Linked DNA regions of Macaca mulatta. The protein of the gene in region 1 purifies or fractionates together with the protein of each later gene. This does not show direct contact. Links are inferred from orthologs where the notes say so. Each region holds a gene or a part of one and is shown in the gene's direction. Other genes may lie near its edges. The genes, in order: NCBP3, THOC7, DDX39B, THOC6 and ALYREF.

The links.
Region 2: the proteins of NCBP3 (region 1) and THOC7 purify together in Homo sapiens (co-immunoprecipitation; 3 studies listed by BioGRID and IntAct, with this or other methods). This does not show direct contact. The link is inferred for Macaca mulatta from reciprocal best matches to the Homo sapiens genes NCBP3 and THOC7.
Region 3: the proteins of NCBP3 (region 1) and DDX39B purify together in Homo sapiens (co-immunoprecipitation; 4 studies listed by BioGRID and IntAct, with this or other methods). This does not show direct contact. The link is inferred for Macaca mulatta from reciprocal best matches to the Homo sapiens genes NCBP3 and DDX39B.
Region 4: the proteins of NCBP3 (region 1) and THOC6 purify together in Homo sapiens (co-immunoprecipitation; 3 studies listed by BioGRID and IntAct, with this or other methods). This does not show direct contact. The link is inferred for Macaca mulatta from reciprocal best matches to the Homo sapiens genes NCBP3 and THOC6.
Region 5: the proteins of NCBP3 (region 1) and ALYREF purify together in Homo sapiens (affinity purification with mass spectrometry; 4 studies listed by BioGRID and IntAct, with this or other methods). This does not show direct contact. The link is inferred for Macaca mulatta from reciprocal best matches to the Homo sapiens genes NCBP3 and ALYREF.

What each region holds. Positions count from the first base shown.
Region 1 is NC_133421.1:5,294,483-5,299,825, reverse strand, and holds the end of NCBP3 (nuclear cap-binding protein subunit 3), read left to right. Parts: intron 1-479; coding exon 480-641; intron 642-2,001; coding exon 2,002-2,164; intron 2,165-2,628; coding exon 2,629-2,737; 3' UTR 2,738-3,762; downstream 3,763-5,343. UniProt on the Homo sapiens protein: Associates with NCBP1/CBP80 to form an alternative cap-binding complex (CBC) which plays a key role in mRNA export. NCBP3 serves as adapter protein linking the capped RNAs (m7GpppG-capped RNA) to NCBP1/CBP80.
Region 2 is NC_133407.1:127,394,287-127,399,489, reverse strand, and holds part of THOC7 (THO complex subunit 7), read left to right. Parts: intron 1-1,334; coding exon 1,335-1,452; intron 1,453-2,603; coding exon 2,604-2,731; intron 2,732-3,042; coding exon 3,043-3,129; intron 3,130-4,783; coding exon 4,784-4,841; intron 4,842-5,203. UniProt on the Homo sapiens protein: Component of the THO subcomplex of the TREX complex which is thought to couple mRNA transcription, processing and nuclear export, and which specifically associates with spliced mRNA and not with unspliced pre-mRNA.
Region 3 is NC_133409.1:150,788,226-150,794,423, forward strand, and holds the start of DDX39B (spliceosome RNA helicase DDX39B), read left to right. Parts: upstream 1-2,340; coding exon 2,341-2,551; intron 2,552-3,580; coding exon 3,581-3,708; intron 3,709-3,974; coding exon 3,975-4,067; intron 4,068-6,106; coding exon 6,107-6,198. UniProt on the Homo sapiens protein: Involved in nuclear export of spliced and unspliced mRNA. Component of the TREX complex which is thought to couple mRNA transcription, processing and nuclear export, and specifically associates with spliced mRNA and not with unspliced pre-mRNA.
Region 4 is NC_133425.1:4,264,239-4,270,305, forward strand, and holds the start of THOC6 (THO complex subunit 6), read left to right. Parts: upstream 1-1,899; 5' UTR 1,900-2,135; coding exon of another isoform or gene 2,136-2,271; intron 2,272-2,505; coding exon of another isoform or gene 2,506-2,634; intron 2,635-2,746; coding exon of another isoform or gene 2,747-2,803; intron 2,804-3,118; 5' UTR 3,119-3,119; coding exon of another isoform or gene 3,120-3,214; 5' UTR 3,215-3,599; coding exon 3,600-3,638; intron 3,639-4,855; exon of another isoform or gene 4,856-5,125; intron 5,126-5,273; coding exon 5,274-5,389; intron 5,390-5,490; coding exon 5,491-5,555; intron 5,556-5,629; coding exon 5,630-5,733; intron 5,734-5,817; coding exon 5,818-5,855; intron 5,856-5,932; coding exon 5,933-5,981; intron 5,982-6,067. Other genes in the region: TNFRSF12A (tumor necrosis factor receptor superfamily member 12A), read left to right, coding at 494-598, 834-968, 1,050-1,105; HCFC1R1 (host cell factor C1 regulator 1), read right to left, coding at 2,136-2,271, 2,506-2,634, 2,747-2,803, 3,120-3,214. UniProt on the Homo sapiens protein: Component of the THO subcomplex of the TREX complex which is thought to couple mRNA transcription, processing and nuclear export, and which specifically associates with spliced mRNA and not with unspliced pre-mRNA.
Region 5 is NC_133421.1:91,550,742-91,556,993, reverse strand, and holds the start of ALYREF (THO complex subunit 4), read left to right. Parts: upstream 1-2,655; 5' UTR 2,656-2,658; coding exon 2,659-2,916; intron 2,917-3,384; exon of another isoform or gene 3,385-3,417; coding exon 3,418-3,549; intron 3,550-4,917; coding exon 4,918-5,065; intron 5,066-5,662; coding exon 5,663-5,726; intron 5,727-5,827; coding exon 5,828-6,005; intron 6,006-6,100; coding exon 6,101-6,115; 3' UTR 6,116-6,252. UniProt on the Homo sapiens protein: Functions as an mRNA export adapter; component of the transcription/export (TREX) complex which is thought to couple mRNA transcription, processing and nuclear export, and specifically associates with spliced mRNA and not with unspliced pre-mRNA.

The sequences.
Region 1 (5,343 bases):
GAGAGGGAACCCCAGAGGACAGGCAGATTTCTGGGGGGATTGAGGGATCCTTTGCTTTTTCCAGTCTCTTTGTATTTACTGGGTAAATGTAATACGTTTATTGGAAACTACTTATATGTTCAAAGATTGTGCCTTCCGCTTTCCGGGAGCTCACGGGATTTTTTGTTTGCTGAAACTTTTGTAAATTATTTAGTCTGCTTGATTCTGCTTTAAAAAAAAAATGGTTGTTTCTTCAGAAATTTAGTTCTGGAGCAGTCAGTTGAGGATTTTTCCTCTGACAGCCCCTATGTCCGAATTTTCCTAGGGATATCCATACTGACTACAAAGGAAGACTACGTAGCAGCCTGATTGTCAGGTCCTGTGTCCTCACTTGGGGGGCAGGGCAGGGGTTAGTGCCAGATCCTGTAGAGGTCTCAGGCGGCTGGTTCTGAGCATAAAGCACACACATGGTCACTGGTGCAATTCTTCTCTTTTTTCAGATATACGCCAGCGATTAGGAAAAAGACCATATTCTCCGGAAAAGGCTTTTAGTAGTAACCCAGTCGTTCGGAGAGAGCCCTCTTCTGATGTGCATAGTAGGCTCGGTGTTCCCAGGCAAGATATTAAAGGCCTCTACGCCGATACTCGGGAGAAGAAATCAGGTTGGTAACACTTAAAACCGATGGGAATGGGGATTCAGTGAGAGCAGAGGACAATGGGTGTATTGGAGCAGACGGCAAGAAACAGCCCATGACAAACATAAGTGATTATTCCTTTTCCATTATAGTTATCATCAGTATCAGCATCAGCATCATCTCAACAGTAAGGAATGCTTAGAGCATAGGAAAAAATAGCACACTCCTGGTTCTTTCTGCTTGGCACAAATCTTTTTAGTTTCATGTGAGCTATTCTGGTCTTTGTCCACATACAAGTCCTACTTTTTTCACATAGCATTTTATCGTAGTTGTTTGCCACATTTTATAAACTTTATAAATAAAACTTTTAGGCCCAGCACGGTGGCTCACACCTGTAATCCCAGCACTTTGGGAGGCCGAGACCAGCCTAACCAACATGGCGAAACCCTGTCTCTACTAAAAACACAAAACTTGGCCGGGCGCGGTGGCTCAAGCCTGTAATCCCAGCACTTTGGGAGGCCGAGACGGGCGGATCACGAGGTCAGGAGATCGAGACCATCCTGGCTGACACGGTGAAACCCCGTCTCTACTAAAAATACAAAAAACTAGCCGGGCGCGGTGGCGGGCGCCTGTAGTCCCAGCTACTCGGGAGGCTGAGGCAGGAGAATGGCGTAAACCCGGGAGGCGGAGCTTGCAGTGAGCTGAGATCCGGCCACTGCACTCCAGCCTGGGCGACAGAGCAAGACTCCGTCTCAAAAAAAAAAAAAAAAAACAAAAAAAAAACCACAAAACTTAGCCGGGCGTGGTGGTGGGTGCCAGCACCACCGCACTTCAGCCTGGGCAACAGAGCAAGACCTTGTCTCGAAAACAAAAACAACTTTTAATTGCCTTATAATGTGGCTATCCACCAAATTCTAAACACATATTTCTCTGTTGTTCAATTTTCATGAAATATATTTCAAAAAGTAATGGATGGTGGGCAGAATTTCTGAAATGTTACAGTATAGTAGGCCCATCGATTTGTAGAATGTTGAAGCTGGAAAGGAGCTGGGAATGGCCTACTCCTGGCAGAATGGATTGGCACACCGGGTGGTATCTCAGCAGGGAAGGGCAGGAGTAGGAAGAAACAGCCTCTCAGGTGATTCTGATGTGCCTGGTGACAGGGAGGGACCTGACCTGTCCCCCACGGTGAGAATCCCCTGCTGGGTCCAGACCCTTCTGTTTGCAGGCCAGGGGCTGCGGCCCAGGAAATGAGATTTTACCTACCCAAAGCTGCACTGTGATGGCGTTTCCTGCACAGCAGGTGTTGGCAGTGCCACTGCCCCCTCAGTACCACCCTGGTTCTTAGTGCTGACTGTGAAAGTGAAATGCCATCTCATCCAAACAGGTAATTTATGGACTCGCCTAGGATCTGCACCCAAGACCAAAGAAAAGAATACGAAGAAAGTGGATCACAGGGCACCTGGCGCTGAGGAAGACGACTCCGAGCTGCAAAGGGCGTGGGGGGCTCTGATTAAGGAGAAAGAGCAGTCTCGCCAAAAGAAGAGCCGGTTAGATAACTTACCATCTCTCCAGATTGAAGTTAGTCGGGAAAGCAGCTCTGGTTCAGAGGCAGAGTCCTGATGCCCCTGGGGCCTATGGCAACTGCCCTAAAACCTGACCTTCTTGCACAGGGTGGGGCGCGCAGTAGGAACCTCCCCCGCAGGAGCTGGCGCCCTCTCGCTCCTGCTCACACAGTCACCCTCTCAGCTCTTGCTACTTCGGCAAGACGTCTTAAGAATGGGACACATTTTCAAGGGCGTCTCTATCTTTCGCTGCAGAGTTGTAGTTCTGGGCCCTCGATTCCTTTCCCATCACCCCACAGGCTTTACCCTTTGAGAAAAAGGCAGCCCTCCAGATTTTGTAGACATTTTTCTTAATATTTTTAACATTGTGTCTTTTAAAAGAAATGTTTTACACAGTTCATCCAAAGAGCAGAGAACTGAACTTCTCACTATTGCCTTGGCCCTGACAGCTGTTACCAGCACCCTTTTCCCAAGAAAAGTCAATTCCCAGGTGCTTATTGGACATCCTTCGAGGGGGAAGAGGAGGGAAGCGGCCAGCTCACCCTTCCGGGACCCTAGTGTGGGGGCGAATCTCACCGACCTGACCTCAGAGGTGCACCAGTGCCGCCCAGGTAGATAAGAGCTGCAGCATTGACTGTGCTTCCGTTCTTCCCTCGGGGATTGCTCATGTCATGGGCCTCTTACTTGCTGTCAGCTTGATGTGAAGATCAAGTTCAGTGCTGTGGGATTTTTAGGAACAAAAAACTGTGACGTCTGGAATTGGGGTTGATTTTTGTGCTGGGGGTGGGATTATGGGTTAATGTTAAAGAATTTTTAAGTCTGTATTATGTTTAAAACACAAATGATTTGAAAGTTTAAATTTTTAATTTTTATATGTGGAAGTTCTTCCTGTTGGCTAAAGGGGAAGCTTGAGTGGTGTCTTCTTTTGTGCTGTTAAATATATATTCTATTCTTTGGAAGAAGGCAGAGAGAGGAGTCTTATTATTTTTAAATGCTTCTAGTTGTATAGCCTGTCTGTTGTACATAGAGCTCAGCTTGCTTTTTGGCTCCAGTAGGAAAAAAATCCATCCATCTGAGATGGGTCCTGTTGTTTATTATCACTCTAGAAGTTGATACATTGATATTTATTCTTTCTGTCCCCAAGTTGTGGCACCTGAAGACATCCTAAAACTTGGCAGAAAAGATAATAGTTATGAAAATTTTAGTTCATTTATTTTTAAGCTCCTTTCAGATTATTTTACCATTAGGAGGAGGTAGATTGTTTCTTCTTGCTGTCTGATTTTTGTTTTGTAGTATTTAATTTTGTATTCCTCTGCAGTTTTGAGAAACAGTGTTTCGCTTCGGTTTGCTGGAACATGGGAGTTAGAGCTGGTCGTAAGCCGTGGGCCTTTTTGCGATGTCACAACTCTTCACCTGCCTGGGCTGTTCCGCACACAGTGCAGCCTGGATCCTGGCGATCTGTACTTGTGGCCGAGCTAATGGTCGCATTGATAGTTGATTACACTGTGGCACGAATGAATGCAGAACACTGTTATTAATAAAGGAAGTAAAAGGGCTGCAAGATTTGAGAGCTGCAACAAAAACTGTATTGTCCCATATTTTGTTGATTAACCTGCTTTTTCTCCCTCCCTTTAGAGTATTAGAGCATATAACTGTGATATATTTCAGCTTCCTAATAGGATTCTAGGAGAGAGATGGTTCTGGTTTCTCCGCCAGTTGAGACTTAAGGCATCTGAGATTCCTCAGCTTTCCTTTCCCTGTGAAGCACACGGCTGAGAGCCAGGTTCTTAAGAAGGGTCAGGGGTTGGGGAGTTGGTAGAGTGAGAAGTGCGGGGGTCTGAGAATCAGAGACCTGGATGCCAACCCCTGGCTCTGTGCTATGGACCTGGGCCTCAGTTTTCCCATCTAGCAGTTGAGTGAGCTGGTACCAGAATTCCTGGCTTTGTTGGTGCGTCTCAGTGGCGGTTTATTCTTCCCAAGCTGTGATGGCGGTGGGCTGGCCTGCGTGAATTTCTATTGCAGGTGGCTGGAGGAAGCGCCGAGGAGACAACTGAGAGCGAGCATGAGGTGTGGACAGGGGCTTTTCCCATCCCAGCAGTCTCTGCAATGGGGCAGAGATGTCTTGTGGTCAGGGTCCCAGCTGGCATGGCCTCTGCAGGGTTTAGAATATGCCCCTTCACAGACTTTGCTTTTGGTTTTCCACCAGCAGCTCAGGCCCGTTTGTTCCATGGCCTTTCAGCACTCACCAGTCTCTTGCTGGAGATCAGCAAAGACATTCTGGAAGGAGGTGGTGTGCAGTCAAAACTGGGTCTTTGATCTAACCAAGAAAAATACACACTTGAGTAGCCTCCAGTTTTCACAGACACACAGAGAGAACCCGGAAAGGCAGGTTTGACGATTTTACTTCTCGGAGTTACTGGCCTTATTAGCCTCTCTAACCCTTCAGCCCACTCTCAGTCACTCAGATCTTGCAACATCTTGAGTGTGTCCTGAATGACGAGGCCTTTTCTTTGGCGTTTCGGAGTGAGAATGGATAGTCAGGACAGGCCTCTGGCAGGCAGCTGGGCGTGCTTTTACCCTGGACGCTCCCCACACATGTGGGCACAGGGCTACCCACTTTGTGTATCCCTCTTAGTCTCATAGGTAGGAGATTTTAAATCCATGTTTGCTGCTTGATGGTAATTGCAGATACCTCATTTGTTTCCCACTCTCCTCTCTGGAGAGTTACCAGGTACCCAGGAGAACTTGTGGCGTCCACCGCAGGATGGAGTCTCCTTCTCTGGCCCCCTTGTAGTCTGATCCTGTGAACCCCTCCCCGTACTTCAGCCACTGTCCTTTCCAGCTGCACTTGTACAGCACCCTCTTCACTGGTCTCTGCCCTTTCTCCGTTCTGCACACCGCAGCCGGGACGAACCTTTGTTGTTGTTACCAGCTTAATTAAGATACAATTTGCATACAGTTCAGCCATTAAAAGTGTACACTTCAGTCGCTTTCAGTATATTTACAGAGTTGTGCACCAGCACTGCTATCAATTGTAAAACATTTTTATCACCCAGAGAAACCCTGAGCCCATTAGCAGCGCTCCCTATTCCGTCTTCCCTCTTAGCCTCTGGCCACCACTGATCTTCCTTCTCTCTCTCTGGATTTGCCTGTTCTGGACAGTT
Region 2 (5,203 bases), on another chromosome or scaffold:
CATGAGTGCACTTCTATAGGACAAATTTCTAGAATTGGAATTATGGGGTCAGAAAGGTATGTGCGTTTTAAATTTTATTTGTTACCGTTCAGTGGCCCTACAAAGAATTACCAGTTTGCATTTTATTCGTGTATAAAAGTGCAGTTTTCTAACACCCTTGCCCAACCGTTTTATCAGATCTTTTGCCAATCTGATAGATGAAAAATGATGTTTTACTATGGTTTTAATTTGCCTTGCTCTTGTTATGATCCAGCATCATTTTGTCCAGGAAAGAACACTAGCTCAGGACTGCCAGGCAGACAGATGTGGACCCCGCTTGTTGGCCATCATTGTCATCTACTTGTTTTTGTTTTTGTTTTTTTTGTTCTTCTTCTCTCTCTCTTTCTTTTCCTTGGGGCGAAAGTCAGACAGTATTGTTAAAAAAAAAAATCCTCATGGGGAAAGAAACCTTACAGATAACTATATATATACTTTTTAAATTTAATTTTATTTTTATTTTTTATTTTTTTCAGAGACAGCTTCTCGCTTTGTTGCCAATAGGCACTGGAGTCCAGTGGTGAGATCATGGCTTGCTGCAACCTTGATCTCCCAGGCTCAAGTGATCCTCCTACCTCAGCCTCCCAAGTTACTGGGACTAATAGGCACATGCCACCACACCGAGCTAATTTTTATTTTTCACAGGATCAGAGTCTCACTGTGTTGCTCAGGCTGGTCTCAAACTCCCGGTCTCAAGCGATACTCCAGCCTCAGCCTCCCAAACTGTTGAGATTACAGGCATTAGCCACCACACCCAGCCTTAAATTATATGTTTATCTAACAAATCCATTACTTTTTCCCTGACCCATCTCATTCTTTTTTCCTAGTTTGCTACTACATCTTTTAAATATTTCCTATCTATTCCTTTTATCAATGCCTCTCACCAACCAAAAACACGAGCATTTGAACTTCTGTCTGTCTGGGCAGGTTATTTTGTTTCCTTCATTGTACCTGAAGATTATTTCCACTCAACAATCCAGTAGACTGCCAACTCTGTAAGGACATCTTTTCACTGCTATTACTCCAGCCCCTAGAACAATACCTGACACACGATAGTCATGCAATAACTTTCTTTTTCCTTTACTATATAAATATTTTTTATTATATGCAGTAACATAAAATATGCATAACAAAATTACCATTTTAGTTGGCCATTTTTAAGTGTACAGTTCAGTGGCATTAAATACATTTACATTTCAATAATTTTCTTTTGAATAAACAAATGAACAGTCATACTGGTTATTTGTGCTTGAAAGTTACCAAGAGCCAGATGGTAACATTGGCCTTCTTTCCTGCAGATGAAGTTATACGGAAGCGTCTCCTCATTGATGGAGATGGTGCTGGAGATGATCGGAGAATTAATCTGCTAGTGAAGAGTTTCATTAAATGGTGCAACTCTGGGTCCCAGGAAGAGGGGTATTTCATTTCACTGTTGTTTCCATACCAATGTCCTAATGTGATTTTAGGCCATATATTGAGGTCCTGTGAATAGATCAAATTTTCACTCACCTTAAATGTCCAGTGGAGTCAACTCTTAATCGAGAGTAGATTTTCTTGGCCTTTTCTTCTCTTCAAAGGCCTCCCATATGTTTATTAAAACATGGAGAAGGAGGATTGAAGGAGAAATGAAGATTAAATTCAGACTCATTAGTTTGGTTACTTTTATGATATAAGTGTTTAATAGGATAAAATATCTAAATGGAATTTTCTCCTTTGCTAATAAAAGGCTACCGCTATGTATGTATATATTAAGTTGACACGATTAACCGCGATTAGTTTTGCACCAACCTGATACACACACACACATACACATACACACACACACACACACACACACACACACGTATATCTAATTTTTTTTTTTTTTCTTTGAGACAGAGTCTCATTCTATTGCTCAGGCTGTAGTGCAATAATGGCACAATCTTGGCTCACTGCAACCTCCACCTCCCAGGTTCAAGCAGTACTGGTGCCTCAGCCTCCTGAGTAGCTGGGATTATAGGCAAGCACCACCATGCCTGACTAATTTTTGTATTTTTAGTAGAGATGGGGTTTCACCATGTTGGCCAGGCTGGTGTCAAACTCCTAGCCTTAAGTGATCTGCCCACCTTGGCTTCCCAAAATGTCAGAATTACAGACATGAGCTACCATGCTCAACTATATTTATTTATTTTTTAACATAGTAAACTTTTCCTCATTTGAATTTGCTTTCCATATAAATGATTTTATAGAGTGAAAAAATTGTGGGAACAGAACTGTGAAGTTAAAAAAACATCTTAAAGTATTTTTTAGTCTTTTAAACAAAATTCAAATAATTGTTTGAATAAAACGTGTATTGATAAGAACAGCAGTCCCATCTTTGCATTTGTAACTAAAGTAGTTAAATTCAAGAATACTACATTTGATAAAAAGAAAACTTAAGGGACAGATATTCTAAATTATTTTAAATAAGCAAATGATTCTCTCAGAACTTGGTATAATTTAATTAGCAAATATTTGCCTGCATTATAACAGTTCATTTTTGTCAATCCACAAGCATCCTTATTTTGGTTTTCTCTCTTTTTCATTAGGTATAGCCAGTACCAACGTATGCTGAGCACGCTGTCTCAATGTGAATTTTCAATGGGCAAAACTTTACTAGTATATGATATGAATCTCAGAGAAATGGAAAATTATGAAAAAATTTACAAGGAAATAGGTAAAGAATCTTAATGTTTCTATCTGTAATTTTATTTTTTATGGTCTAAAGGAAACAATATCTGCTAACAATTTTCTTTGATTGGTGGTAAAAGAATAATAACAATTACTGTATTAATGGAAAGAATACAGTAAATGTTAGCTATAAAAATGCATATTCTAACATGATATAGTACTTTGGGTTACAGCTGTTTTTTTAAAATACTAGTGTCTATTTTGTTACCAATAGAATTTAATTTATAAATGCATTTTAAAATTAAAAATGGATTATTGATTGTGTTACCACTATCTTTTAAAAACCTTCTCATATAGAATGTAGCATAGCTGGAGCACATGAAAAAATTGCTGAGTGCAAAAAGCAAATTCTTCAAGCAAAACGAATACGAAAAAATCGCCAAGGTAAGGGTTTTGAGGGATTTAATGTGCAAATACATTATTACTGACTACTATTTTCATGCAGTTTTTAATGTTGTGAGGTATAATCTGCAGCCTGAATCAACCTTGATTTAAAAAAAAAATCCAAATTTTAATTCCTTAGAACTATATTATTCTTTAAAATACAGAAGGAGGTCTGTGTTGAAAAGAATGTTTTTGCTGGATTATGTTGATTATCTAAGTATTTCTTTTGTTTTTCTCTTTTTTTTTCTTATCCCAGTATTTCTTAAGTATTAAATTTTTACCATCTTGGACCCTTTTGCCTAAATAATGTTATAGTTAATCAGCAGAGGCGATTTACATAAATATACTAGATTTATGGTTTGGGTTTTTAGTTTGTTTGTTTAATAGAGCTACTTTCCAAAAAATGAAATGGAAAGGAATTTAAACTCTGTGAGTTTTCATTAAGTACAAAGCAAGCAAACATTTCTAGACGGCCTACAATATCTAATAAGAAGGTTAAAGTTGAGTTTTGTTATAATCTCTTGTTTTTAAGTTAGAGTATATACTTATGTAGTTCCTAAATACTATTTCAAGACAATTTTTAATGTTAGAGGCAATGCTGTTCTTAAAATGTAAATTGAAGAAAAATAAAAATAAAAAATATAATGTGTGATCACAACTGTTACAACTTTTCACATTGATGTGAAAAACTAGAAGAAAATAGAAAATGTTAATGGTTATTTTGAAGTTGTGAGTTTTTATGGCTTAGGTTCTTTTCTCTGTTTTTGTTTTGTTTTGTTTTACATAGGGCATGTATTATTTTGTAATTCAAAAAATTTGTGTTAAAAGAATCATACTTTTATTGAATTAATATGCTCAGTTCTAAAACAATGAATGTTCACTTTTTAATGAACTAATTAAGATGAAGCTTAATTTCCTCTTTTTACAAGTTGTTTTTTTCAGTTTAAAATGTGTATGGTGAAGTTTTGGTGCCCTATTTACAGTAAGATATACCAACTTAGTATCAGTTCAAAAGTCATTTAAAAATATTTGGAGTGTTTTCGTTGGTTAATGAGGTTTTTAAGTAAATCCTGCCACTCATCACTCATCACTTCATAAGAAAGGTTAACAGAAGTTACATGACTTATCTTGGAGGTCTCAGTGGAGCAGAAAGTAGAACCTGAATTTTAAGTTATTTGCACGTTTCTGAAATCTTAACTTTTGGAATGAGTGAGAAGTGTAATTTGCTGTTGACTAACAACTCAAACTAATGGTAGGATATATTTACTGATTTTATTTTATTTTATTTTATTTTTTAGACAACTAGTGAGTAAGATCCTTCTCAGAATCAGTCTATTTGATAATCAATAATAACTTAAATTTGCTTATGCTTATGCTGACCTCTTATATTCTGTCCACGACATATAAATGGAAAAAAAGTGGGAGCTAAAACCCCTGTTTGGAACACTTTTGATGTTGTGTATCATTATAATTATAACTCAGTCAACTAAAACTGGCAATACTCATCTTTCAATGATTTCATTTCTTGATATACTAGGGAAGTGATTAGAAGAGGTTTGTGATATTATACATTTTTGTTGATATTATACATTTTTGTTTTGATAATTCATATTCAAAAAACCCTTAGTTTGATAAATATTTTTATGTCTTTCAGAATATGATGCTTTGGCAAAAGTGATTCAACACCATCCAGACAGGCATGAGACATTAAAGTAAGTGTAGAGTTTTACTTTGAAAGGAACTAACCTTTATACATAAATGCTCATAAACTACCCTAGGCATTTCATTTTTTGCAGAATAAATATGTTTCAAAAGGAGGGGTCAGATCTTCAATATTATATTTTCCCATACTTCTCTGTTAAATTTTATTTCCCTCTGACCTTACCACTTATATGTCTGAAATAAATGCATGTAATATTCATTAATAGCACAATGGACAAATAGAATATGGTCTTCATATATTAAAATACTGAATTTCAGTTAAAAACAATAAACTAGTTATGCCCTTTTAAAACACAGCTCTCAAAACATAGTGAAAAGACACATAATAAATTTTAAATTATTACTACATTCC
Region 3 (6,198 bases), on another chromosome or scaffold:
GGTGGATCACCTGAGGTCATACATGGGTGAAAACCCGTCTCTACTAAAAAACTAAAAATTTGCTGGGCGTGGTAGCGGGCGCCTGTAATCCTAGCTACTTGGGAGGCTGAGGCAGGAGAATCGCTTGAACCCAGGAAGCAGAGGTTGCAGTGAGCCGAGACCACGCCATTGCACTCCAGCCTGGGCGACAGAGCGAAACTCTGTCTCAAAACAAAAAAAAAAAAAAACAGTATTAATGGAATGTAGTATAACCCTCAAGCCCTACTATTGACACTTGGGGCCGAATCCAGACCCCGTCTTCCCGCTCGGATTCAGAACACCTTCCTGACTCCCTGGCCCTAGGGCCGCAGCTACCTCGGACGGCATCCTTTTGGGAAAATACCGCCCACTAGCCCCACGACTGGGAAAGAGTCGGGCAACGCCCCCCCCCTCAGCTAGGGCCTGCCGTTTCCTAGTGCTTGCCCAGCCGCCCTCAGGTCACCTTCACTACCGGGCCAAGGACCCCGTGGGAACTCGCAGCCCTCGCCACACCGGTTCCTCGCGCATCCATGGAGTGCCTAGAGAGAAGACCTGCATGGCAAAAACCTAAACGAAGAGATGAGAGGCATGGAGAGGAGTACGACAACAGAAGAAAGATAACAGTGGGAGGAAACGTTAGTTTCCTTTATACGTTTTGTTACTGGCGGTAGCAGGGAAGTTAGAAACGGTTTTAAAACAAATTTCAGACAGGCATTTTCCAAAGGCAAGCCTGGAGCGCACGGATCTGTACAACCGCGGAAGGCCCCGTTTCCGGTCCCTTGCGCCTGCGCTCTTGCAGCCAAGAAGGCGGGAGGCTGGAGTAGAGAGAAGCCTGCAACCGGAAGTGAAGGCAGATTTCCCTCCTTCGTCGCTGTTGCTGCCGCCATACGCGCTCTGCCTTCTTAGGTAAGCTTTGGCGTTCACTACAATCCGTTGCCATCTGCGCTTCTTCGCACCCATCCCGTCACATGGGTTCCTGATACCCTTTTCACAGGCGATCGTCTGGTCTCTGGGGCCTAGTTGGTTCCCCATTTCCGTAGCTTGCATCCCTTTCGAGAGCAAAGAGCTCTTGGGGGAAGGAAGGGAAGCTAAGGGGGGGCCCAATCCAAGATGGTGTCCTCGGCGCCATTGTGTTCGTTTTGCTCCCTTCTTCCAGTAGGTTCTTTTCATATTGGAGGCCTCAGCATCAATGAGAGGCGGCGCTAGGCGTCCCTTGGTCTTGGTATTTGCGGAGGGCGGGGCTCTTATCACCTTACTTGTCCTTTCTTGAGCCCTTTCTTGGCCCACGGTGGGACTGGGAGGAGGAGCCGGTTTTTGGGCCCAGTTGGATTTTTCTCACCTTGACTCGCCCAAGTTAATTTGGAGTGCCTTACAAGTGTTTACTATTGGTGTCATTGTATGTTTCTCCAAAAGGAGTCTCACCTTCGTAGCGCAACAGTGATGTCAGACCACTTGGTAAAGATCCTGTTAAAGCCTGGGCGGGGATTGCCTTTCTCTGTCAACTATTAACTTTGTTATTGTAGGGTGGAGACATGGATTTTTTTTGTTTTTGGTGGCCGAGCCATTTGTCTTGCACCGCCCCTCCCCCCCATGCTAATTACACAAGGCTTTCTTAAACAACGGAAGAGAGGATACTGAGAAGTGGGAGGCTGAGAGCTATGGGAGGTGGACGGCGGCCATATGATGTTTTCTTTTCGAAAGATGAGCGCTTTGCGCAGTGATGACCCTCATCTATCACCCTTGACTGATGGCTGCTGAGTTAGGCATCCATAACGGTGGGATTATAATAGGGAAAGCACAGTCTTCCTTTGAGGACTTTCCAGGACTCTGCTTGTCATCTCCATTTTCCACTTTACTAAGTTATTAATCATATTTTATCTTTTATTATCTATTATATTTCCTCACTTATTTTCAGATTAAGAATTTATAAGTTGGTCTTCCCCTTCCAACTTTTCTGGTTTCCGCTACTGTGATTGCTAATCTTGTTGGGAACCTGTGTCCTAACCACTTTCGCTGGTGCTGCTTTTTCTGTTCTGTTGTATTTGCTTTTCGTTTTTATGTTGTGTATCTGTTTTTTTTTCCATGTAAAAGTTTCCTAGTTTAGGGAAAGTGGGAACTGGGAATGGAAAAGAGGTGGTGAAGGCTCTGCTCGTGACTAAGTCTTGCTTTTTTTTTTTTCCCCCTCCCCAGCTCTTCTGTTAGAAATAGTATCTTTATTTTCCTTTGCTGTTCCTCAATCCCCTACTCTTCACCCCTTGTTTTCACCTGTTTTGCGAGAACCCATCCAGATTCCCCTTCCCGTCTTCCCCTGCCGGCCCAGTTATGGCAGAGAACGATGTGGACAATGAGCTCTTGGACTATGAAGATGATGAGGTGGAGACAGCAGCTGGGGGAGATGGGGCTGAGGCCCCTGCCAAGAAGGATGTCAAGGGCTCCTATGTCTCCATCCACAGCTCTGGCTTTCGTGACTTCCTGCTCAAGCCAGAGTTGCTCCGGGCCATTGTCGACTGTGGCTTTGAGCATCCGTCAGAAGGTAAATTTTCTCTTGGGCATGTAGTGCTCATTGGGCTCTTTAAGGGTACAATAAAAAGATGTGTTTGTTGTTGCTCAGGTGGTAAAAGTTTATACTTAAGGCTAGATCAGGGTCAGGTGCAGGGGCTCACGCCTGTAATCCCAGCGCTTTGGGAGGGCAAGGCAGGAGGGGTGGTCACTTGAGCTCGAGTGCAAGAGAAGCCTGGGCAAGATAGGGAGACTCCTGTCTCTACTAAACGAAGCAGGTGAAGGTTGAGGCTTCAGTGAGCCGTGATTGCACTACTGTACACCAGCCGGGGAGACAGTGAGGAAAAAAAAAATCAGGAGATAAGTATCGAAAACGATTTTGGATAGAGGAGGATTATACAGACTTGTTCTTTCTTTCATGATAGCACCAAAGTGCTAATTATCCAAAAGTAGCTTCTAGGTCTGCCATTCATTCTTGTGACTGACTTCTTTTGTCTGCTTATTTTTAATTTTGTCATTTGACTTGTAATTTTAAATTTCCAGAAAGGTCCTGATTGGACCTGTAGTCTCCCTCTGTTGGGCCAGGCCAACTGTGGCCTCTGGAAACCTCTATGACTGGTTTAGAGATGACTGGCTTCTGGGTCAGGTACCAAGTCCTTCATTTTGTCCCGGGTTGTTGTTATGTGACCCGAAGTATGGCAACCTAAGTAGGAGAAATGTCTTTAGCAGGTATTCAGATGTCATGAATTGTTACAGATTAAGAAAAATAAGGACAGAGCCAGGAGCATTGAAGGTGAGCGGTTGGTAGATGCAAGGGGGCTGTTAGTAGGACTGGGAAGGCCTAGATCTGGAGGAGGCCAAAGCTGGGATGAATTAGGAGAGTCTGATTTTGAGGTGAATATAATTGAGCAGAGAGAGGAAAAAGGGGTCTGGAAGTTGGCAAGAACCAGGTAAATACTAGATTTTGAGAATTGAGTGGTAAGAAATGGGCTTGGCATGATGAAAAAGGTTGTAGAGTTATCTGGAGACTGAAGTCTAATTTATCTTTCCTCCCTACTTTTAGTCCAGCATGAGTGCATCCCTCAGGCCATTCTGGGAATGGATGTCCTGTGCCAGGCCAAGTCGGGCATGGGAAAGACAGCAGTGTTTGTGTTGGCCACACTGCAACAGCTGGAGCCAGTTACTGGGCAGGTATATTTGGGGAGAGTGCTGGGGAAGGGGTTTTGGTTAGGACTATAAGGGAAGGGTGTTTTTGTCCTAGCTACATGATGACCTCGGTTACCCTTGACAACCTGACAGCTGTGGGGAATGTTCTATCCAAGCATGGGGTTCGTGATTTAGATCACAGAATTGAAGTCATTTATTATCGGCCCAGGTGTGTTTTTGTCAGTCACTTCCCTAGAGGGAACGATGAAGGGCTACACTCATGGTATGTCTCGGTCTACTTCCTGCCTAAGGTGTCTGTGCTGGTGATGTGTCACACTCGGGAGTTGGCTTTTCAGATCAGCAAGGAATATGAGCGCTTCTCTAAATACATGCCCAATGTCAAGGTAAGCCGAGGTAAAGAGACCTCAGAGTGAGGGTGTGGCAAGTTGGAGGGATAAGAAACTTGTAGGCCAGTAGTCTCTTTAATTTTGGAGAAGTTTTAGTTTGCCATGGTTTAACAGTGTTAAGATCCTATGTAACGGGAGGATTCGTAATTGGGCTATGGATGATGCTTAACCGAGACCACCCTTTTTTTACTACTTTATACTGACTTTGAATCCTATCAGTTTGGTAATTTTGGGGTGTGTGGCAGAGAAAGCCAGAAACTTTAAAACAGCTTCAGGGGTGTGTGAATATTGAGGATTCTGGCCAAGTGCGCAGCGGCTTACACCTGTAATCTCAGCACTTTGGGAGGCCAAGGCATGTGGATCATTTGAGGTCAGGAGTTCGAGACCAGTGTGGCCAATGCGATGAAACCCTGTCTCTACTAAAAATGCAAAAATTAGCCGGGCGTGGTGGCACACACCTGTAGTCCTACCTACTTGGGAGGCTGAGGCAGGAGAATCGCTTGAACCCAGGAAGCAGAGGTTATAGTGAGCTGAGATTGTGCCACTACACTCCAGCCTGGGTGACAGAGTGAGACTCCCATCTCAAAAAAAAAAAATCTGATTGAAGTTAAGCATTTTTGGCAATTATCCTTCATAGGTGATGCTGTATCTCCTGTTATGCCAGAAATCGGGTTGACTTATGTTAGTTATTTTTATTTTTATTTATTTGTTTTGAGATGGAGTCTTGCTGCGTCCCCTGGGCTGTGAGTGTAGTGGTGCGATCTCAGCTCACTGCAGCCTGCACCTCCCAGGTTCAAGCGATTCTCCTGCTTCAACCTGCTGAGTGGCTGGGACTACAGTGTGCCATCATACCCGGCTAATTTTTTTTTTTTTTTTTTGGTAGTGACAGGGTTTCGCCATGTTGGCCAGGCTGGTCTCGAACTCCTGACCTCAAGTGATCCACCCACCTCGGCCTCCCAAAGTGCTGGGATTACAGGTGTGAGCCACTGTGCCTGGCCTCATTAGTGACTTTAGGTTTACCATAGGATTAGCATCGTGACAGTCTGATTCCATGGTCATTCTTTTCCCCCTTAAAACTAGAGTTTCTGGTGTTATTTGACACTGTACCAAGGCCCAGATCCCTAACCAACTATTCACCTAATGGTTTTAACATGAAGTGATAATATTTCACCCAAAGCAGTAATTTCATGGGGTTTGTATGAAGGAGTTTGAGATTCTGGGTTTATTTAGGAAAACTTAATGTTCCATGTGTTTTTTTGTGGTACTTTATACTAATCCTGGTAATTTCTTGCCGTCCTTTATTTATTTATTTTTTATTTTTTGAGATGGAGTCTCGCTCTGTCATCTAGCCTGGAGTACAATGGCTCAATCTCGCCTCACTGCAATCTCCACTTCCTGCATTCAAGCGATTCTCCTTCCTCAGCCTCCTGGCTAAGTTTTGTAGTTTTTGTATTTTAGTAGTAAATTTGTAAATATTGTATTTTAGAAGAGATGGGGTTTCACCATGTTGGCCAGGCTGGTCTTGAACGCCTGGCTTCAAGTGATCCACCTGCCTCGACTTCCCAAACTGCTGGGATTACAGGCGTGAACCACCGGGCCTGGCTTTATTTTATTTATTTATTTATTTATTTAGAGACGGAATATCACTCTTGTTGCCCAGGCTGGAGTACAATGGTGAGATCTTGGTTCACCGCAACCTCTGCCTCCCGAGTAGCTGGAGTTATAGGCGTGCGCCACCACACCTGACTCCTTTATTTTTAAAATGAGGCTTGGCCTCATAAATGAAGGAAGACGGTTAGATTAAGTCAGAAGAACTGAATTATTGTCCTGACTGCTCCGACTAGCTATGTAACTTTAGGCAGTCACCCTCAGTGTTTGGTGGGGGGACATAACATTTCTAAATTAGGTGACCTCTAGAGTTCGTTTTAGTTTTGAAACATGCTAAAAATTGGTTTAGCTCAAACAGTGGGAACTCTGGGGGGATTGGACTCTTTCCTTCCTCTTTTTTGAGACTCTTTGCTCCTGGCTCTCGGCAGGTTGCTGTTTTTTTTGGTGGTCTGTCTATCAAGAAGGATGAAGAGGTGCTGAAGAAGAACTGCCCGCATATCGTCGTGGGGACTCCAGGCCG
Region 4 (6,067 bases), on another chromosome or scaffold:
CCGAAAGTCCGAAAGTACTTGGAAGTGGAGAGAGAAAGTAAGTGAGGGCGGGATGTTTAGTCTAGGAAGGGGCACGCCCCCAGCCTGGTCAGTACAGGGTCTAACTAGCCCCAGTGACCGACGAGTTGGGGAGGCCGTCGAGAGGCACTAGGGTCTGTGCCCTCTATACCATGTGGGGTGCCCCCTTCCATCCGGTGACTTCAGTGCCCAGCTATGCGGGGGGAGGGACCGGGGTCGGGCCCGGTGCCCAGGAGTGAGTCACTCGCCGGCGGCAGGGGGGTTGTGGGGACCTGACCCCCCCCCACCCCCAGCGTCCCGCGCTACGCCCTCCCTCCCGGAGCTGCCGTGTCCCGGTCGGGCCGTGCGGTCACCTGTGAGGAATGCGCGGGGAGGGCGCCAGTGACTCACGTTATTCGAGCCGGCCGACCCTGACCTCAGACCCCAGAATAGCCGAGTCCCGCCCCCAGCCTCTGACCCGAGGCCCCCTCCCCAGGCACCGCCCCCTGCTCCCGCGGCAGTTCCTGGAGCGCGGACCTGGACAAGTGCATGGACTGCGCGTCTTGCAGGGCGCGACCGCACAGCGACTTCTGCCTGGGCTGTGAGTGGGGGGCAGGGCCAGTGGCCAGCGGACCCCAGACTGGGAGAGAGGGTGGCTGGTGCGGAGAGGGGGGCCGAGAGCTTTGCATCGGGGAAGTCAATCGGGAGAAGGTGGGAGTTGGAAGGTGGCCCGGGTCAGGGAGGAGGCCACGGTTGGGAGAAGGCTGAAGGCTCAGTCTTAGGGGGCGGGGCTGGCCTGGAGAGGGGCGAGGTCTGACTCCGAGTCCCGCCCCCAGGCGCTGCGGCACCTCCTGCCCCCTTCCGGCTGCTTTGGCCCATCCTTGGGGGCGCTCTGAGTCTGACCTTCGTGCTGGGGCTGCTTTCTGGCTTTCTGGTCTGGAGACGATGCCGCAGGAGAGAGAAGTTCACCAGTAAGTGCGCCCTGGCCTGCCCAGCCCTGTCAGCACTCGACCTTTTCTCTGCCCCTGACGACCCCACCTCTTATCTTGCAGCCCCCATAGAGGAGACCGGCGGAGAGGGCTGCCCAGCTGTGGCGCTGATCCAGTGACAATGTGCCCCCTGCCAGCCGGGGCTCGCCCACTCATCATTCATTCATCCATTCTAGAGCCAGTCTCTGCCTCCCAGACGCGGCAGGAGCCAAGCTCCTCCAACCACAAGGGGGGTGGGGGGCGGTGAATCACCTCTGAGGCCTGGGCCCAGGGTTCAGGGGAACCTTCCAAGGTGTCTGGTTGCCCTGCCTCTGGCCCCAGAACAGAAAGGGAGCCTCACGCTGGCTCACACAAAACAGCTGACACTGACTAAGGAACGGCAGCATTTGCACGGGGGGGGTGTCCTCCTTCCTAGAGGCCCTGGGGGCCAGGCTGACTTGGGGGGCAGACTTGACACTAGGCCCCACTCACTCAGATGTCCTGAAATTCCACCATGGGGGTCACCCTGGGGGGTTAGGGACCTATTTTTAACACTAGGGGGCTGGCCCACTAGGAGGGCTGGCCCTAAGATACCGACCCCCCCAACTCCCTAAAGAGGGGAGGAGATATTTATTTTGGGGAGAGTTTGGAGGGGAGGGAGAATTTATTAATAAAAGAATCTTTAACTTTAAATGGTTTGGAGAGGCAGTGATCCCCGACTGACTCCCCTGAGCTGGAGGGAGGGAGTGAGTCAGCCAGCCGCGGGGGCGGGGGTGAGGCTCTGACTCACACATTCTCAATGCCTGGAACTCAGCCGGCCAGGACCTGGCTGGCCCTAACAGTTTTCCAGGGAAGATCTTGAGGAGAAACCCCAGCATCCCGCACCTCTGCCCTCTCCACCATCCCCAAAAGCCCCAGGTTCTAGACTGAAGCCTTCCTTTGCTCAGCAATCTTTATTCAGTTCTTCTTGGGGGTGGGATGCCTCCCTTCCCATGCTCCCACCCCTCCCATCCCAGAGCTCCGTTGGGCTCAGTGTCCTCTGTTGAGGGAAGGTCTTGGTGCCCAGATGCCTGGTCTGCAGGAGAGGGAGGAACCTTGTCCCTTTGCAGGAGTCGCTGGTCTCTTCTGTTGTGGGGAAGAAGGAAGGTGGGAGGGGCAGTCCACCAGCACTCAGAGCTCCGTTATGTCTCCAGCTGGGGTTGCAGGGTAGGGGGGACTGGGGGTGTCCCCCAGCCTCAGCAGACGGAGGGCCTCGGGGATGAGGCTGCCAGGGTAGCGCCAGAGAAGCAGCTCAGAGCAAGGGCTTCTAGAAGAAGAAATGACTGTCAGGGCATGGGGCTAAGGCTGGCCTAGCTGAGCACCTCCCACCAGGTCCAGGTCCCCAGGGACTCCTGGGTTCCCAGCACTTTCCAAAGAGCGAAGATGAGAAACAACCCAGAGGTCAGCTAGAGCTAAAAATGGCACGATGAGGCAGGGCCTGAGGTCAGCTGCGAGGACCGCCTGTGATTCTGCAGAAGGCCTGGCCAGTGGAGGAGCCTACCTGAGTGGGGGCAGGGCTTGGGGGAAGGCCATGGGGGGGCTGCAGTAGGGGTGGTCATTGTGCAGGCTGAGTTGAGAGAAGTGGGTGGCCATGTTCTCCTCAGACAGAAATTGCTTGCGCAGAGGCTCCCTGGGGAGAGATGGGAGAGAGGCAGGCTGGGATATTGAGACAGGAGGCAGCCTGTTGGGGACCAGAGGTGACAGAGCTCTCGTTGGGAGTCCCTCCCTGCCCCCAAACTCACTGCTCCTCCTCCAGGCGCCGCTTGGTGCTCATGGGCACAGCTCCTCGGAGAGGGGAGCTGGGGAAAAAAGAGAGCCTGGTGCACCCCACCCTCTTGGCCCCTTCCCAAGGATATGCCTGCCTGAGCCTGCAGCATCAGCCAGGAGCCCCAAGCCCATTACTGTCTCAGCTGGTGCTGGTCCCCCCTCTCCTGGGCCATCCAGCAGCGTACTTCGGAAGTCTGGACCCTGAACTGCAGCCCCAATACCATCTCAGCTCACGCCTAAGCCCCACCGATTCGCCCCACCCCGTGTTCATCCTGCAGACCAGCCCTGAGCACCCAGCCAAAGCTCCTGCGGCCCTTGGTCAGGCCCACCCTGGTCCCCCACACGCACCTGGCGTCCAGGCCCCGAGTCACCCCCAAGGCGGCCCGCGGGAGGCGCTGGGCCCCACCCTGGGGGCCTCGCTCCAAGGGCTGCTGAAGGATCATTGGGTTTTGGGGTCCTGCGGGTGGGATCTGGGCGACAGGGGAGGAGTCTCTGAGGGCGTGGCCCAGCGAGGATGGGCGTGGCTTTAGGCGGGCACAGCGGCGAGGTTCTGCGCGGGCGCCGAAGAAGGGCGGCGCGTGGCGGAAGGCAGGCTTGCTCCTCGGGGTGGGGGAGGGTATCCGGCTTAGCGGGGCTGCGGTGGACACCACTTCTTAATGTCGGGGGTCTTCGCGGCGCTCACCTCGGCTCCTGGGGTTCAGGACGGTACGCAGCAGCCCCCTTCGCGCCGAAGGCAGTAGGGCGCCACGGAGAGGAACCGCTGTAGGCACGTAAGGCCTCGTGAAGTTGCGTGGCACGCGGAGCACTCTGGGACTTGTAGTTCTGGAGATGGAGCGAGCTGTGCCGCTCGCGGTACCGCTGGGTCAGGTGAGACGGACGTGGTGCGCGTTGCCTTCTGGGATTTGTAGTCCATTCATGGCTGGGACGGGGCGGGCAGGGAATTGTGCCCTTTGAGTCCTATTTTGCCTGGGCTATTTGTGGAACTCAGACGCTGACCGGGGGGCGGGAGAGTAACCCAGAAGTGCCTCAGGGGCTTAACGCAAGACAGAGAGTAGGGATTATAAATCAGTACGTTTTTCTATGTTGGGGTAGTAGAGCCACCCCTATTTTTTTTTTTTAATTTTCTAGTTCCTGCAAAGCACTTTTTTTTTTTTTGAGACGGAGTCTCACTCTGTCAACTAGGCTAGAGTGTAGTGGCACGATCTCAGCTCACTGCAACTTCCGCCTCCTGGGTTCAAGCGATTCTCCTGCCTCAGTTTCCTGAGTAGCTGGGACTACAGGCGTGTGCCACCATGCCCAGCTAATTTTGTGTTTTTAGTAGATACAGGGTTTTACCGTGTTGACCAGGCTGGTCTCGAACTCCTGACCTCAGGTGATCCTCCCGCCTCAGCCTCCCAAAGTGCTGGGATTACAGGTGTGAGTCACCATGCCTGGCCACATTTTTTTTTTTTTTTTTTTTGAGACGGAGTCTTGCTCTGTGCCCCAGGCTGGAGTGCAGTGGCGCGATCTCGGCTCACTGCAAGCTCCGCTCCCCCGGGTTCACGCCATTCTCCTGCCTCAGCCTCCCGAGTAGCTGGGACTACAGGCGCCCACCACCTCGCCAGGCTAATTTTCTTGTATTTTTAGTAGAGACGGGGTTTCACCGTGTTAGCCAGGATGGTCTCGATCTCCTGACCTCGTGATCCGCCCGTCTCGGCCTCCCAAAGTGCTGGGATTACAGGCTTGAGCCACCGCGCCCGGCCATTTTTTTTTTTGAGATGAAGTTTCACTCTTGTTGCCCAGGCTGGAGTGCAATGGCTCCATCTTGGTTCACCACAGCCTCCGCCTCCCAGATTCAAGCAGTTCTCCTGCCTCAGTCTCCCAAGTAGCTGAGATTACAGGCATGCGCCACCACTCCCAGCTCATTTTGTATTTTTAGTAGAGATGGGTTTCTCCATGTTGGTCAGGCTGGTCTGGAACTCCAGACCTCAGGTGATCCGCCCACCTCGGCCTCCCAAAGTGCTGGGATTACAGGCGTGAGCCACTGCGCCCGGCCCCACATTTTTAAATTTTTTGTTGAGACGGAGTCTCACTATTTTGACCAGGCTGCTCTCGAACTCCTGGCCTCCCCAAGCAGTGGATGACAGGCATGAGCCACCACACCCGGCTTCAGCACTGAGTGACAGCCCCATGGAAAGCTCTTGTCTATACACTAGCTCATCTAATGGTGATGGAATCTTCTGTGAGCTCCACTTGACAGTTGAGGAAGCTGGTAGGAGAGTGCTGGGTGCTTGCTCAGAGGTCCCTGAGGCATCACCTCGACTCGCCCCTTCTTCAGTGTCTTCTTGGAGCCGCCCATGGGACTGCATGGGCAAGTGCTGGCTTGGGGCCGGGCCGCCTCAAAAGAGGGCTGAGAAGTCAGGACAGTGGGAGGCCTGGCAGGTGTTGGGGGAAGCAGGAAGGAGTCTGTGGCTGGGAGGTTTCATACATCCCAGGCAGGCCTCATCCAGTTCTTCCCTGCAGACAGAGGTGTTCCAGGCCTTGCAGCGGCTCCATATGACCATCTTCTCCCAGAGCGTCTCACCGTGTGGGAAGTTTTTGGCGGCTGGCAACAATTATGGGCAGATTGCCATCTTCAGGTACCCTCTGCCGCTGTCCACCCATTAGCCCTGGCACTTGGCCCTCATGGGACGGATGCCCCTGTTTCTGACTCCTGGGTCCCCTCCGCTGTCCCCTGCAGCTTGTCCGCTGCTTTGAGCTCCGAAGCCAAAGAGGAAAGTAAGAAGCCGGTGGTGACTTTCCAAGGTGGGTATAGCTGTGGAGTCTGGCTTCGGGACTTTGGGTGGAATTGGTCAACTCAGTTCTGCATTTCTCTTTAGCCCATGATGGGCCTGTCTATAGCATGGTCTCCACCGATCGACATCTGCTTAGTGCTGGGGATGGGGAGGTGAAGGCCTGGCTTTGGGCGGAGATGCTCAAGAAGGTAAGGAGTTGAGCTCGGGAAAGGGCTGGGGTGCCGGGACCCAGAGAGAGCCTTTGAGGTCAACTGGTATTTTCCCTTTTGAAGGGGTGTAAGGAGCTGTGGCATCGGCAGCCTCCATACAGGTGAGCCAGGGCCACATGGATAGAGGGGGCATCGGGGTGAAGTGACTTCCTCACTGACCCTGCCTTTCCTTCCCCAGGACCAGCCTGGAAGTGCCCGAGATCAATGCTCTGCTGCTGGTCCCCAAGGTCTGAGCCCCATGTGACTGTTCTTGTCCAAACTTTGATCCTTCACCCTCTGCCTACCCTGATTTGACATTGACTTCCTGCCTCAC
Region 5 (6,252 bases), about 86 Mb from region 1:
TACAGAGGGTCAGGGCTACAGGGGAGCTACTGCAGAACAGCGAGCCCTGGCAGCAATCCACTGTGGCTCACGACTGTAATCCCAGCACTCTGGGAGGCCAACTTGGGAGGATCGCCTGAGCCCAGGAGTTTGAGACCAGCCTGTGTAACATAGTGAGACTGTCTCTACCAAAAAAAAAAGAAGAAAAGGAAAAGAAAGAACTATCTGTGAGGTTTCTTTAGCCGTCTAGAGAAAGGGCACACTTTTCTCTCCAAGGGAGGGAACTCAGCTCCTCACGGACAGAGAGATCACACTGTCAGGAGTTTCATTTTACCTCATGTTGAGGATATCTTCAAAGATCTCAAGTGGGTCTGGCCAACATGACAAAACCCCGTCTCTACAAAAATACAAAAATATTAGCTGCAGGTGGCGGCTCATGCCTGTAATCCCAGCACTTTGGGAGGCCGAGGAAGGTGGATCACTTGAGGTCAGGAGTTCAAGACCAGCCTGGCCAACATACTGAAACCCTGTCTCTACTAAGAATACAAAAAATTAGCCGGGTGTGGTGGGCACCTGTTATCCCAGCTACTCGGGAGGGTGAGGCAGGAGAATCACTTGAACCTGGGAAGCAGAGGTTACAGTGAGCCGAGATCATGCCATTGCATTCCAGCGTGGGCAACAGAGTGAGGCTCCATCACACGTACACATACAAAATTAGCCAGGCGTGGTGGCGCACACCTATAATCCCAGCACCCAGCTATTCGGGAGGCTGAGGCACAAAAATCGCTTGGACCCAGGAGGCAGAGGTTGCAGTGAGCCAAGATCACAGCACTGCACTCCAGCCTGGGCGACACAGTGGGACTGTCTCAAAAAAAAAAAAAAAAAAAAAAAGCCTGCTGTGGTGGCATGCACCAGCTGCCTAAGAGGCTGAGGCGAGAGGATAGCTGGAGCCCAGGAGTTCAAGACTGCAGTGAGCCAAGATCACACCACTGCACTCCAGTCTGGGTGACAAGGGGAGACCCTGGCTCAAAAAACACAAAAACAAAAGCAAGTATCTCAAAACAACTTAAATCCATGAAATGGGCTGGCCCTGACTCAAAAAACAAAAACAAAAGCAAATATCTCAAAACAACTTAAAATTCATGAAGTGGGCTGGGTGTGGTGGCTCACGCCTGTAATCCCAGCACTTTGGGAGGCCAAGGCGGGCGGATCACCTGAAGTCAGGAGTTTAAGACCACCCTGACCAACATGGTGAAACCCTGTCTCTACTAAAAATACAACTAATTTCTCTACTAAAAATACAACAATTAGCTGGGTGTAGTGGCACATGCCTGTAGTCTCAGCTACTTGGGAGGCTGAGGCAGGACAATCGCTTGAACCCAGGAGGCAGTGGTTGCAGTGAGCCAAGACTGCCCCACTGCACTCTAGCCTGGGCGAAAGGAGACTGTCTCCAAAAAAAAAAAAAAAAATTCCATGAAATAGCACATTGGTTTTCATTAATAAATTGCAAATATGTCATATAATTTCTTTTGGAGACAGGGTCTGGCTCTGTCACCCAGGCTGGAGTGCAGTGGTGCCATCATGGCTCACTGCAGCCTCGACCTCCTGGGCTCAAGCGATCCTCCCACCTCGGCCTCCCAAGTAGCTGGTAGTACAAAAGTGCACCACCAAACCCAACTAATTTTTTTTTTTTTTTTTTTTTTTTTGAGACGGAGTCTCGCTCTGTGGCCCAGGCTGGAGTGCAGTGGCCGGATCTCAGCTCACTGCAAGCTCCGCCTCCCGGGCTTACGCCATTCTCCTGCCTCAGCCTCCCGAGTAGCTGGGACTACAGGCGCCCGCCACCTCGCCCGGCTAGGATTTTTTTGTATTTTTTAGTAGAGACGGGGTTTCACCGTGTTATCCAGGATGGTCTCGATCTCCTGACCTCGTGATCCGCCCGTCTCGGCCTCAACTAATTTTTTTTTAAGAGATGGGGTCTCACTATGTTGCCCCAGCTGGTCTCAAACTGCTGGGCTGAAGCGAACCTCTTGCCTCGGCCTCGCAAAGCGCTGGGATTGCAGGCGTGACCGCGCACGAAAACTTGTAAAGGATATGACTAGCAAATTGTGAGAGTGCAGACTCGGGGGTCTGCAGGTGGGGACCAAACAACCAACCCGCAGCTCTTCTGCGGCGGCTGTCGCCCGCCGAGGCCGCGTCCGCTGGACCCCGCCGCGAGCCGAGCGCACAGTCCCGGGCGGGAGCGGAAACAAGGACTCCCAGCGGCTGCCCGGCACCCGCCGCGCCCGCAGGGCCCCCAGCGCCCCCAGCCCAGGGCGATCGGGTGGGGCGTGCGGGGAGGGAGGGGCGCGCAGGCTCCGCCCCCAACGGCTGCCGCCCCACCCCCTGCGCCCTCGCACCTTCGCCAACCTAATCACGCGCCGCCCTGCCCGCCCTTCCGTTGGCAGCGCCGGCGTCCGCGCGGGAAGGTATAAAAACGACCTCAGTCGCGGCCCGGCTCCCTCAGCAGCGCCCGCCGAGTCCCGCGAGCCAGTGCGCACGCGCCTTCCCGCCTCACCCCGTCCCGCGCGCGCAGCCGTCCGCCGGCGGCCAATCAGCAGTCGCTCCGAGGCCGTGGCACCGGAAGGCCTCACGAGGCGCCGGAAGTGACGCGCCGGCGTGCTGACGCGCGGGCTCGAGCCGATGCCCGATTCCGCGCCCGCCATGGCCGACAAAATGGACATGTCTCTGGACGACATCATTAAACTGAACCGGAGCCAACGAGGCGGCCGCGGCGGGGGCCGGGGCCGCGGCCGGGCCGGCTCCCAGGGCGGTCGCGGCGGTGGGGCGCAGGCCGCCGCGCGAGTGAGTCGAGGCGGCGGGCCCATCCGGAACCGGCCGGCCATCGCCCGCGGCGCGGCCGGCGGAGGCGGCAGGAACCGACCGGCGCCCTACAGCAGGGTGAGTGCGGAGGCCGGCCGCGCCGGAGAGCGGGAGGGGACCAGCCGGGGCCGGGGCGTCTCGCGGTGGAGACCCGGGCCGGCGGACAGATAGGGCCGGTGGAGCGGCCGCCCGGAGGTCCGGAGGGTGCGTGTGGGCGCGGAGGGGGTGGTGGGCGGGAGCGAGGTCGTTCTTTCGGGGCCCGGTCTCGGAGGCTGAGACCCTTCCCGGCTCTTTGTTTGTTCCGGCCGCCGGGGCCTCGTGGCGGCAGGAGAGGAGGGGACGCTGGGCGCGGCACCGGCGGCGGGAAGTTAGTCGAAGGGAACTGAAGTTGTGCGGCCGCGGTGGGACCGTGCCGCCTCGGGCTGGGGCAGCTGCTGCGCCGGAGGGAGCGCTAGCGGCCCCGTCTCGGCCGGATCCTCTCAGGCCGGGAAGAGGAAGGGTCCGGAGTAGCCGTGAGGGCCAGGAAAGGCCTGGACTGAGACTCACGGATCTGCTGTTGTTGCGGTTTTTTTTCTTCAGCCAAAACAACTTCCCGACAAGTGGCAGCACGATCTTTTCGACAGTGGCTTCGGGGGTGGTGCCGGCGTGGAGACGGGTGGGAAACTGCTGGTGTCCAATCTGGATTTTGGAGTTTCAGACGCCGATATTCAGGTAAGAGACGAGGGCTTCTCGGTGAGCCGTTCGCCCTGCACAGGACCGATCGTGATTTGGGGGAGGGGGCCCTGAGTCCCCTTCCCGCCTTAGCGAAGGGAGCGCTCCCAGCTCTCAAGGGCTGCAGGACAGACCTAGCTCTAGTAAAGCCGGGCTCAGTCCGCAGGCAGGTGCGAGCCTAGCCGAGCCTGAGGAACTGCTGCTGATAGTCTGAAGATGGGTTCTGTGAGTGAACATCCCCAGCCAGGGCTTCCAGTTTCTAACAGGGACCAAGACTGATCAAATGTGAGTGGTTGTTGGCTGTTTAACCCAGCCCAGTTGCTCTTTAAATGTTGTGCCCCTTTTAGTGGGTTAATGTGAGAAAAATAATCTTTTTTATGTACCTTATGAAGCACAGGAAGCCTGTGTGATTTTCTGGCTCTGTCTGCCTTGAGTATTGTCTTATAAAGACGTTGTACGCTGCGGTTTTATCACTCCCCACCCCCGTGTCCCTTCAGTGACATGATTCTCAAGCCCATCTTTGGTTGAAGCTTTTCTTTTTTTAAAAAAGAAAAATTGAATCCCAATGGCATTTAAACTTGTTTTCTGGTTAAGAAATGATTTTTTGGGAGTCAGTTTTGGAGATGGCTGGGCAGGGTTCAGTTGCCCACAGCCCAGCCATTTGCCTTGGGAGGACAGAGTAGGGCCAGTGAGCACTCACAGTGTCTCAACACTTTTTTTAAGGTGGTTTCTAGCATCCACTGGAAACCGCTTTTGGTGAACTCCAGTTCCCGCTGTGTGCCTGCGGCCGGAGTATCCCCACACTCTGGGTTCCCTCTCCAACTCCCAGCCTGCCTGAGGTCAGGGCAGTTTCCATGGCAGCGCTTGACTTCAGACTTTGCGGCAGGCTTGAGTAGGAGGAGAGGGAAAGGTGAGCCAGAATCTGCCTCTGGGGGAGGGGCTGGGGTCAGGGCTCCCGAATCTACAGGCCCTTCAAGCTGGTCTGATATCGGACTGCTTCCCTTGCTCTTGCTCTTGATCTTGGCCTTTACCGTTTCTTGGAACAGCCCTTGGGTGTGTTGTAAATTTTCCTTCGTTGAGGAGGATAGTGGCTTAATTTTGTGCCCCTTGCTAGTGGGCTTTGCGACTTCCTCTATCTGCATCATGGTACACGTGTCAGGTCCCCACAATGGCAGGAGCCCTCAGACCCAGGTGCTCTTGGAAGTTGCTGTCCCTTCTGCCCCACCCTTCCCTCATTTCCCGTTACCACTGTCCTGCCTCCCAGGGAACCACCCCCAAAGCAACTCACGCTTCCAGGGCCTGTCCCTGGGCCACCAGAAGGAACCCAGTTTTGTTGCTTTTCTGACAACTGTTCTTTGCAACTCCCAGGAACTCTTTGCTGAATTTGGAACGCTGAAGAAGGCGGCTGTGCACTATGATCGCTCTGGCCGCAGCTTAGGAACAGCAGACGTGCACTTTGAGCGGAAGGCAGATGCCCTGAAGGCCATGAAGCAGTACAACGGCGTCCCTCTGGATGGTGAGTCTGGGGGTAGACCCACGCTGACTGTGGGGCTTGTGGAGTTTGGGGCTGGCACCTGTCCAGGTAGGAAAATGGGGTACCCCTGTGGCTGAGGACACTTTGCATTTGCCCCTTTGTCTCTCTCTTCCATCTGCCACCTCTCATGCTGCCCCACACATCTGGACCAACCTCTTGTGAACCCCCATCCAGCAAGCTACATCCCTCCCCTCCTTCAGCTCCTTCCGGAAGATTCACTTCTGTGAAGCCTTCTCAGAACCGCCATAGTACACCTCTGAGTGCGGGGCTGTAGTCGTAAAGACAAAGGTACCGGTTCTTCTTCGTCAGGTCACCCACACCTCTCCACCCACGAGCACCCTGACACCTCAGCAAGCAGCCCACCCAGTCTGGACTGAGAAGGATGAGGAGGTGTTGGTGGGGTTGCTTCCTTGCCATTTTGTTCTCCCACCAGTATCTCCAGGCCATTTCCCTTGTCGGGGGCATTTGAGACACACAGAGGCCCTTTCCAGTGTTTGCATGGAGACCAGGGTGTGGTGCCAGCTGGGTTGGTTTCAGAGCCTCTCATTAGAACGTGCCCTCTTGTATTCTTTGCCGCAGGCCGCCCCATGAACATTCAGCTTGTCACATCACAGATTGATACACAGCGGAGACCTGCACAGAGGTGACTTCCGGGGCCTCTGGGGAAGGGTGTTGGCCTAGGGTGTAGCTGTATCGCCCTTGGGGTTCTTCCAGCTATGCGAACGGTTTCATTTTCCTTGCTAGCGTAAACAGAGGTGGCATGACTAGAAACCGTGGCGCTGGAGGTTTTGGTGGCGGTGGAGGCACTCGGAGGGGCACCCGTGGAGGCGCCCGTGGAAGAGGCAGAGGTGCCGGCAGAAATTCAAAGCAGCAGCTTTCGGCAGAGGAGCTGGATGCCCAGCTGGACGCCTATAATGCGAGAGTGAGTCCCGGGGGAGCCAGCTGGGGGCCCGGTCGAAGCCACAGTGGGGAGCAGGCCTTCTGTGAATGCGAGCCTCTTTTTCCTCTGTGTTTCAGATGGACACCAGTTAAACAGACCGGCAAATCCGCGTGTGGAACAGGACCCAGGCGTTTCCTCTTGCTCCCTGGTCGGGGGTGGGCGGTGGCTGGGGCTGTGCGGCCAATGATGGATTTGTTTCTTTTATGTTTTAAAATAGGATTTAAAAACT